Callithrix jacchus: one gene and its partners. The protein of the gene in region 1 purifies or fractionates together with the protein of each later gene. This does not show direct contact. Links are inferred from orthologs where the notes say so. Each region holds a gene or a part of one and is shown in the gene's direction. Other genes may lie near its edges. The genes, in order: RPL13A, CTCF and RPL7L1.

Region 1 (4,370 bases):
CCAACTCTGTACAAAGCTGTTGTCCCATGAAATGTATACAAATCATCCTTTTCTACCAGCTCTGGCCAGGTCTGTCTGGGTGTGGATGGGGTAGTTTTGATTTCAGTCTTGGTTTTTCCATTGCAATGCAATGTTTCATTCGATAGGTGTTTTCTGAGGTCTCCTGGAGGCCCAGGCCGGGACTGGTTAATGCTAGAGCCCGGATCGGAGTCAGAACCAGCCCAGACGCCCCAGGTCTCCTAGGCTATGGAGGAGAAGACAAGGGACTCAGCGTGCCTGCGTGCAGGATGCCACAGGCTCCTATGGAGATAGCATAGAGGCAGTGTGGGAGCCCAGGGGTGTAGGTGGCAACTAACCCAGGCTGGGAGATCAGAGAGGCTTTCCAGAGCCAAAGGGCACTGCGATGGTGACAAGCCAGATTTGGAGGGGTTGGGGAGGGCATCCTGGGCAAGGGACCCATCTGAAGCAAAGGCCAACAGTCCAGAAAGTGAGAAGTTTCTCAGAGGAACGCTCAGCGGATTGGTGCAGCCAGGTATCTAGAAGTCATTCCTTCATCCACTCCTAGATCCCCTGGGGAAGACCACTTCCACCTGTTTTACAGATGGAGAAACTGAGGCCCAGATAAAGCCAGGGATTTGTCCAGGTCAGAGTGAAGTCGACCAGACACCGGAATCCAAATCTCTAAACCTAGAACGGGCAGGGCACCGGGGTTCACGCCGGTAATCCCAGCACTTTGAGAGGCCCAGATGGGAAGATCGCTTGAGCCCAGGAGTTTGAGACCAGCCTGGCCAACATGGCAAGACTCCCCACCGCCCCCGTCCCCGCCTTGACAAAACAAACAATATATACATATATATAGCCAGGCGTGATGGCACGCCCCCGTAGTCCCAGTTACTGGAGAGGAAGAGGCAGAAGGATCCCTTGAGACTCGGAAGTCGAGGCTGCGGTGGGCCATGATCGCCCCACTGCACTCTGACCTGGGTGACAGACCGAGACCCTGTCTTAGAAAATAAAGTAAGCCTGGACTGAGCGTGGAAGGGCGGGCCTGGCGGGTCTGGTCTCCCCCTGAGGGCCACCAGAGGCCCTGCAGCCTTCAGTCGCTTGAAGGAGTAGTGGCGCTTCCACTTAGAAACAAGGCAGACAGAGCGTGTGAACGAGATTTACAGCCCCTCAAACACACGGCCGCAGAGACGCGACGGCCACACCCCAGCAGCACCGCTTCCACACCCCACGTGATCTATTGCAGGGCCCAGCTCTGGTCGCGGAGGTCTGACCGGAAGTGTGTCCGGATTGGACAATTAAAAGATAACCCGCCTTCCGTGGGGCATCTCTGCGCGCGCGCACAACCCTTTGACCAATGACAACACAGAAAGTTGTTTGCGCGCTCACGTCACTTCTGCCGCCCCTGTTTTAAGGGATAAGAAACCCTGTAACAAGACCTCCTCCTTTCCCGGGCGGCTCCCGAAGATGGCGGAGGTGCAGGTGCGGGCTCCGCATGTGTCGGGGCGGCATGGGGTGGCATGGGGCCGGGTGGGATTCAGGCCGGAACGGGGTCGTACCCTCTCGGTTCTGCTACCTGTGTTGCAGAGTTTAACACCTACAGTTAAGCAAAATAGAAGTGTTTTAGGGTAAGGGGAAAATGTAGAAAAGGACGGGGCTCTCTTTAGGCCTAGGGTTGGCTACAATGCGGCATTTCTTTCTCGTGGCGAGGGTGATGGAGCTCCCAGTACAGGACGGATTACTTTACAACTAGACCTCGCTTACCTTGAGCTTGGGTAATGGGTGGGGGCACCGGGGTCGAGTCTTGGCTGAATTGGACCCTTGTGTGTCCTCGGCGATGGGGAACACGCGAAAGTCTGGCCGGGCCGTTTCGGGGCCGTGAGAAACTGAGGATTGCCCAAAATGGAAGGTATTTCCATCCTTCCCAGTGCGCGGGCTGCTTTAATCTCACGTGGAGGTGTTAATCGGGGTCCCCTGCAGCTCGGTGGTTTTGATTCTCAATACTTTTCTGCGGGGGGTCGAGAGAGCTGTTGCCTGCCGGGCACTCAGGAATGAATCGTTTTCCTTCGTTTGAGGGGGTTGGCGATTGTCCTGAGGCCTGCTGGCTTCTGAAAGTGGAGAGCTGTGACAAATGGTTCCACAAGGATGGAACATCTTTTTCTGCAAACGCCCGGGGGGCCTTTTTCCTGTTCCTTGTGTAATTAACTATAAAGTGGAGGTTGGCCCTGGAAAGGTTTCCTTGTGAATAGTCTGGTTGTTGGGGGCGGAATTTCTGAGCCAGGCTGATCTAAGCAAGTGGTGGTGTTCACCGAACGTGTGTCTTTGTGTCTAACAGTTTGCATTGTTTCGTCTAGTTAACGATATTCCTGAGGCAGATACTGTTAACCTTATTTGACAGGGGAGGGAATCAAAACTTGGGAATTGGTGAGTTTGGGCCAAGGTCAAGACTTCGGGAAGTCTGGATTTAGATTGTGTATATCTGTATTGCGTTCCAACACTTACAAAGGACGTGTAACAACAAATATATGCCTCGTGATTTTGCATTATAACAATGAAGATATCTACTCTGGGGTTTTCTTCCTTTTTTCTGAGATGGAGTCGCCTTGACTCCCAGGCTGGAGTGCAATGGCGGGGTCTTGGCTCATTGCAACCTCTGCTCAGGTTCAGGTGACTCTCCTGCCTCACCCTCCCAAGTAGCTGGGACTACAGCTGGCCGCCGTGATGCTCAGCTGATTTTTGTGTTTTTAGTAGATGAGATTTCACCGTATTGGCCTCAAGTGATCCGCCCGCCTAGGCCTCCCAAAGTGCTGGGATTACAGGTGTGAGCCACTGCGCCTGGCCAGGATTTCTCCTCTAGAGGAAGCTGAGGCTGGGTGCCTGAGCAGTTTACCTAGGCAAGGAGAGTGGCAATAGCAGAGCTAGCATGGGTTTATGCCTGCTCGGCCTAACCTCGCCCCACCTGAAGTTCGGTTTTCTTCCAAATGAAATTTGTGGTAGCAACACCCTATACAGAGGATAGATGCTGTTAATATTCTACAATTGATTGGGCATGGTGGCTCGACCCTGTAATCCGAGCATTTTGGAAGGCTGAGGCCGGCAGATCACTTGAGGCCACGAATACAAGAGCAGCCTAGGCAACATGGCAAAACCCTGACTGAACAAAAAAAGTACAAAAATTATATGGGAGGCTGAGGCTGGTGGATCACCTGAGGTCAGGAGTTCGAGACCACCCTGGCCAACATGACGAAATCACGTCTCTACTGAAAACAAAAATTAGCCAGGCATGGTGGTGGGAGCCTGTAATCCAAGCTTCAGGGGAGGCGGAGGTTGCAGTGAGCTGAGATCATACCATTGCACTCCAGCCTGGGCAACAAGAATGAAACTCCATTCCTTTTTTTTTTTTTTTTTTTTAATTCCTTTCTCGCCCATTTCAAGTCTGAGAAACTCCCATCTCAAAAAAAAAAAATAAAAATAGCTGCGTGTGGTGGCGGTGTGCCTGTGGCCCCAGCTGCTCAAGAGGCTGAGGTGGGAGGATAGCTTGATCTGGGAGGTTGACCGCCTGTGCAACAGCAAGACACTCACTGTCACTCCTACACTTAGTTATAAGGTCTTGTAACTGGATAATCAGTGGGCAGAGCCTTGCTGGTCTACATTGAAGTCCTTGCTCATCCTCTTGCTTCGCAAAATACAGTCTGAGCATTAAAAAAACATAGAAGACCTGAGATAGGAGAGGGGTTCGGGCATTTGCACTGCTCACTCACTCCTGAAGCAGCCTTGTGTTCTCAGCCCCTGTCCTCATCTGTAGAGTGGGCCTCGGTGCATAGTTCCCAGCTGTGATGGCTGGGTTCAAGGTTGCTTGAGGACAAAAAAAGACTGTCCTTGTCTCCCACAGGTCCTGGTGCTTGATGGTCGAGGCCATCTCCTGGGCCGCCTGGCAGCCATCGTGGCTAAGCAGGTACTGCTGGGTAAGTCGCCCCCCAGAGTCCCCCTGTGGAGCCACCGCTGGCGGTCCGTGATGAGCAACATTCACCATCTTTCGTTTGAGTCTCACGGCCATGAGATCAACCCCATGCACCGCTCTGAGACCTGCCAGCAAATCTTCCCCAGGGCCAGGGACTTGAGGCTCAGAAGTGATTGTGCATTAGGCTAGCTTTTCATTTAAACATGAACTTGGCTCTGGCAAGTACTGCATTGTGTCTGGGGGATGCCTGTGCAGGCTGTGGTAGAGCCCTCAGCTCTTCGTAATCCTCTCCCTCCCTCTAGGCCGGAAGGTGGTGGTCGTTCGCTGCGAGGGCATCAACATTTCTGGCAATTTCTACAGAAACAAGTGTAAGTGATGGCCTGGGAGGAGCTTGGGGGGGGTCTCCCTG
Region 2 (2,610 bases), on another chromosome or scaffold:
TGTATTTTTAGTAGAGACGGGGTTTCACCATGTTGGTCTTGACCTCAGGTGATCTGCCTGCCTCAGTCTTTCAAAGTGCTGGGATTACAGGCATGAGCCACCACACCTAGCCCTTTAATTGGCTTTCTAGCCAGGCACAGTGGCTCATGCCTATGATTCCCAGCACTTTGGTAGGCCGAGGCTGGTGGATCACAAGGTCAAGAGATTGAGACCATCCTGGCCAACATGGTGAAACCCTATCTCTACTAAAAACACAAAAATTAGCTGGGCGTGGTGGCGCACCCCTGCAGTCCCAGCCACTCGGGAGGCTGAGGCAGGAGAATCACTTGAACCCAGGAGGCAGAGGTTGCAGTGAGCTGAGATTGTGCCACTGCATTCCAGCCTGGGTGACAGAGTGAGACTCCACCTTAAAAAAAGAAAGGGCGGGGGCTCTTTAAATTGACTTTCTGTGGATTGCTAGCTAATAAGGCTTTCCTGCATTGCTGACATCTCATTCACTGTCAATCTAAAGGACCCTTGTGATTCTTGGGGCTTTACTGCACCATTTGTTCTGTCTGTGCTCTTCTTTGCCAGCAACAGCCATCATTCAGGTTGAAGACCAGAATACAGGTGCAATTGAGAACATTATAGTTGAAGTAAAAAAAGAGCCAGATGCTGAGCCCGCAGAGGGGGAGGAAGAGGAGGCCCAGCCAGCTGCCACAGATGCCCCCAATGGAGACCTCACGCCCGAGATGATCCTCAGCATGATGGACCGGTGATGGCGGAGCCTTATGCATCACCAGGACTGCTCTGGGCTGTGTTTAAACGGCCTGCATCTTAATTTTTCTCCCTTCTTTCTTTTGGCTTTGGGAAAAGAAGCCCATTTTACCAAACATACCAAGAACGAAAACTTCAACGCTGATGTTAGAAAAAATGTGATTTAACTAGAATTTGCTGTCTGATGTTAGCAAATCATGGAATGTTCTGAGTCCCCGAGGGTTTACTGTGAAGTGCTGAGGACAGTGTTGACGACTAACTCGTTTCTAGATGGAAACGGAGACATTGACCCCTCCCTCCATGTGGTAAACCACTCCAGAATGGCCACCAGGCTTCCCAGAGTTCTATGGTCTTCTTCCCAAGAGAGTTTTTAATTGTAAATGTATACTTGGGAAGGACTTAGACTTTTAAACTGTTTTTTGCTTTTGCTTTTCCCTGACTCCCTTTGCTTGGAGTCAGCTGCACACCAGTAGTATGGCATGCTACGATCAGGTTCTGTCCTGAAAGCTTTGCCTCTTTCTTGGCAAAGTTTCTGGTATGGTCAAGCTTGTAAATAACTTTTTTTACATTTTAATCTTTTCCATTAATTAAGAGGTTGAAAAGAAGTGCAGTGTAAGAAAACCCAGCATTTTAATTACTTGCAAATTAAGTTGCCACAGACTCTGTAGTGAGTAAATGTTGACAAGGAATTGGATCACAATCATGTAGCAGAATGGCACTGCCCGCCAGTGACGGACACCCACGTGGCAGATCATGATTTCCAGCCCACGGAGCCAGCATTTGAACCTTATACAATTAACTTTGAGTTATGATTTCCCATCGACATTTTCTTTGCCCTGTTTGTAGCTGAATGCTGTGTTTTATAAATCTTCTGTTAAAGCAGAAGGCTGATTATGAGTGGGTCACAGCAGCCCTTATAAAGCTGGGCCAGAAAATTTCACTAGGTCAGTAATTTAAACTTTGGATCTTCAAAAAATAATGTGAAGCAAAACCAACTAAAAAGTGATTCTTGCACATGAACCGTCACATGTTTAAAAATGTGTTTTTTAGAGAGCCTCAGTCTTACTGATTTCAAACACTTTTTTCTTCTGTGTATTGCTTTTAAGAGAGCCATCAGTTAGCTATCAGACTCTAGGTTGATGCATTTTGTACTTAGCTGTACTGTGTGATATTTTTCATTATTTTAGGATGCCAACATGAGACCTGTAATAAAATATGTAATGGGGTTGAAAGCTGGGGAGGAGGATCTACTGCTGTACAGCTAATAAATCATAACGGATTAACAAGTGCTCCAAAGACTCCATCTTGCTTAATTCCTGCCTGCTTGAGGGAGGTTGGGGGGCTGCTTACATGGTTTCCAGGCTGTGCAGGCTTCTGCCTTTCACAGGCAACCTCTGTTCCCTAGGATGGTACTTCCTCTAGCAGATGGGAGGAGATGATCTTGGCAGGTGACTGGATATTGAGTGCATCCTGCTATAACTTTTTACTCCCCCAAAAGTGTGTGTGAGCAGAGAGGTGAGTAGATGGACAGCAGCCATAGCTTCTGTGATCCACTTGAGTAGGTGGGCCATAGAGCTGCTTAGAGTGAAAGGGGCTGATGGAAAGTTCTATACTCAGGATCTCCACTCAAGGAGGGCTGGGATCAGTACCTGGAGCTCTGCCAGGTGTGAGGGAACAGAGAGAAGCTAGGCCCAGCCTACCCTAGAGAAGTTCATTTGAAAGGAGAGACAGATGCACAACTACCGGGTAGTGAGGAGACCCTCCTAGATAGTAGAGCTGCCTGTTAGCAGCCCAGGAAGGTGGGTGGAAAGGGAGTTATGTCGTGTTTGGAATCTTGTTCATTAGTGGAAAATC
Region 3 (2,575 bases), on another chromosome or scaffold:
AAGTTTTCTCTCCTCCACCTTTACTTTGGTTTCTGATTTTTCCTTTATATGAAAACAGAGGATGTTGCTTTGCTCCCCATTGTAGAACACGGGGAAAAAGCTCTATCAGTTGTCACTCATAAATTACTGTTGTAAAAGTAAAAATGAATGGAAGCACAAAATGACGATGGTGATGACGGTCTGTCTTCTCTGCAGCAGAGGAAAGGAAAAGGGCCCAGGTTTAAGCGATTGGAATCATTCCTACATGATTCCTGGCGGCAGACCCGTGACAAGGTGCGTGTCAGACGACTAGAAGTGAAGCCTCACGCCTTGGAATTGCCAGATAAACATTCTTTGGCCTTTGTCGTACGCATTGAAAGGTAAGGAATTGGTGTCTTCCTAATTGCATGAGGCTGTTGGTTAAGCTTTAGACCCATTTCTAGGGAGATAAGATATTAGACCCAAGCCACTCAGGCAAGTTCTGCTAGGATGTCAGGGTTAAGCACAGTTTAGTCTGAAGTATTTGGAAGACCTCCTTAGACAGATAGGCTTGGAAATAAGTGATGTGAGGGTAAAGTGCTCGCTAGGGAGATGGGTTGAGGACACCGTCTCTAAAGCAGGAACTTCAGCCTGAGACCTGAAAGATGTAAAAGGCGTTCACCGTTGTTGGGAGACTTTGCAGGCATACATGCTGAAGTCCTGAGGTGGGGAAATCATTCTAGGAACTGAAACAAGGCCAAGTGGATGAAGCATATTCTTTGAAGGGGAGATACTTTTCCTCATTTAGTGGAACTTTCCTGACCCCATCCCTACCCCTTTGTACAGCTCTACTTCTTGCTGTTTCCCCTACCCAGTCACCCCGTGGCTTTTGCATATTTATGAGCTCTGTCCTTTGTGGCACTCTGCCACTGTGCGTGTTTTTCCTAGACTATTGTATTAACCTTCCTTCTGGATTTCCTTGTCTCTAGTGTCACGCACTGATCTGTTCCATACATGGCCCTTGGTAATTGTCAGAAGAAAATCTGGTGGTGTTGCTTCTGCTTAAAATCTTCAGTAGTGGCCAGGTGCGGTGGCTTATGCCTGTAATCCCAGCACTTTGGGAGGCCAGGGCAGGCAGAGCACGAGGTCAAGAGATCAAGACCATTCTGGCCCACATGGCGATACCCCGTCTCTACTAAAAATACAAAAATTAGCTGGGCATGGTGGTGCACGCCTGTAGTTTCAGCTGCCCAGGAGGCTAAGGCAGGAGAATTGCTTGAACCCAGGAGGCAGCGGTTGCAGTGAGCCAAGATGATGCCATTGCACTCCAGCCTAGGTGGCAGAGTGAGACTCCGTCTCAAAAAAAATTCTTCAGTAGCTTTTACCGCCCGTACAAGCACATCCAGCTTCCTTAGCTGGACATGCGTAGACCTACATACCACCACTCCCCCTACCCCTGAAACACACACAAATTCAGGGACTTTCTCTGTGTTTCCATAGCACCCCAGGCATTGCTCCACATCATGAAAGGATATGTTTTCATAACCACCTCCCACTAAACTGAGCTCCAGATAGCCAGTGTTGTGACCTCGCATGTTGTGCTTGCTGGACTGACATAAACTGGAGGGAGTCTGTCTGACTTCTGTTGTTACTCATTTCAGGATTGATGGTGTGAGTTTACTGGTGCAGAGAACCATTGCAAGACTTCGCCTAAAGAAAATTTTTAGTGGTGTCTTCGTAAAAGTCACTCCCCAGAACCTAAAAATGCTGCGTATAGTGGAACCTTATGTGACCTGGGGGTGAGTAAGACTTCCTGTGTTAATTCACATTAGATTTCTATTTGAGTGTGTTAGGGTGCACTGGGTCTCATTCTCCAGGGTTCATGTCACTGTAGAAGGAACATTTTGCTGTGACCACGGTCACCCTGAAATCAGCAGGTAGCTTTAAGAAACATAGCACACGGGGTACAGAGGAGTCTTTTTTTTTTTTTTTTTTTTTTTTGAGACGGAGTTTCACTGTTGTTACCCAAACTGGAGTGCAATGGTGCGATCTCAGCTCACCACAACCTCCACCTTCTGGGTTCAAGCAATTCTCCTGCCTCAGCCTCCCGAGAAGCTGGGACTACAGGCGCGCACCACCGTGCCCAGCTAATTTTTGTATTTTTAGTAGAGACGGGGTTTCACCTCGTTGACCAGGATGGTCTCGATCTCTTGACCTCGTGATCCACCCACCTTGGCCTCCCAAAGTGCTGGGATTATAGGCGTGAGCCACCACGCCCAGCAGGGAGGAGTCTTAACAGTGCCATAGTAGGGCTGGTTTAGTTGTAGGGTAAGGCTGGATCAAGCAGAGATTGGTTCTTCAAAGTCTTAAAGCAGAGCTAAGGGCAGTGTTTGTGTAAGAGTAGTATTGCTCAAACATTGAAACTCAACAAAAGCTTGGATTTCATTTCTAGCTCTTGTGCCATCTTGAGTAGAGGGTTGCTTAAGGCCAGAGTCCTAGACCCTAAGCTAGGACATGGTTTCTGTTTTGTTTTTGTTGGCGATGTTTTCCCTGGTGAACATTTACATCCATAAATTTAAATTGCTAATTATGTAAGTGGGGTCACTTCAGTTCTTAA

What was found.
Region 2: the proteins of RPL13A (region 1) and CTCF purify together in Homo sapiens (affinity purification with mass spectrometry; 4 studies listed by BioGRID and IntAct, with this or other methods). This does not show direct contact. The link is inferred for Callithrix jacchus from reciprocal best matches to the Homo sapiens genes RPL13A and CTCF.
Region 3: the proteins of RPL13A (region 1) and RPL7L1 purify together in Homo sapiens (affinity purification with mass spectrometry; 3 studies listed by BioGRID and IntAct, with this or other methods). This does not show direct contact. The link is inferred for Callithrix jacchus from reciprocal best matches to the Homo sapiens genes RPL13A and RPL7L1.

What each region holds. Positions count from the first base shown.
Region 1 is NC_133523.1:43,259,249-43,263,618, forward strand, and holds the start of RPL13A (large ribosomal subunit protein uL13), read left to right. Parts: upstream 1-1,445; 5' UTR 1,446-1,467; coding exon 1,468-1,482; intron 1,483-3,892; coding exon 3,893-3,965; intron 3,966-4,005; exon of another isoform or gene 4,006-4,089; intron 4,090-4,263; coding exon 4,264-4,329; intron 4,330-4,370. Other genes in the region: FLT3LG (fms-related tyrosine kinase 3 ligand), read left to right, coding at 1-30. UniProt on the Homo sapiens protein: Associated with ribosomes but is not required for canonical ribosome function and has extra-ribosomal functions.
Region 2 is NC_133521.1:25,148,099-25,150,708, forward strand, and holds the end of CTCF (transcriptional repressor CTCF), read left to right. Parts: intron 1-573; coding exon 574-758; 3' UTR 759-2,046; downstream 2,047-2,610.
Region 3 is NC_133505.1:51,390,534-51,393,108, forward strand, and holds part of RPL7L1 (ribosomal protein uL30-like), read left to right. Parts: intron 1-195; coding exon 196-359; intron 360-1,619; coding exon 1,620-1,757; intron 1,758-2,575.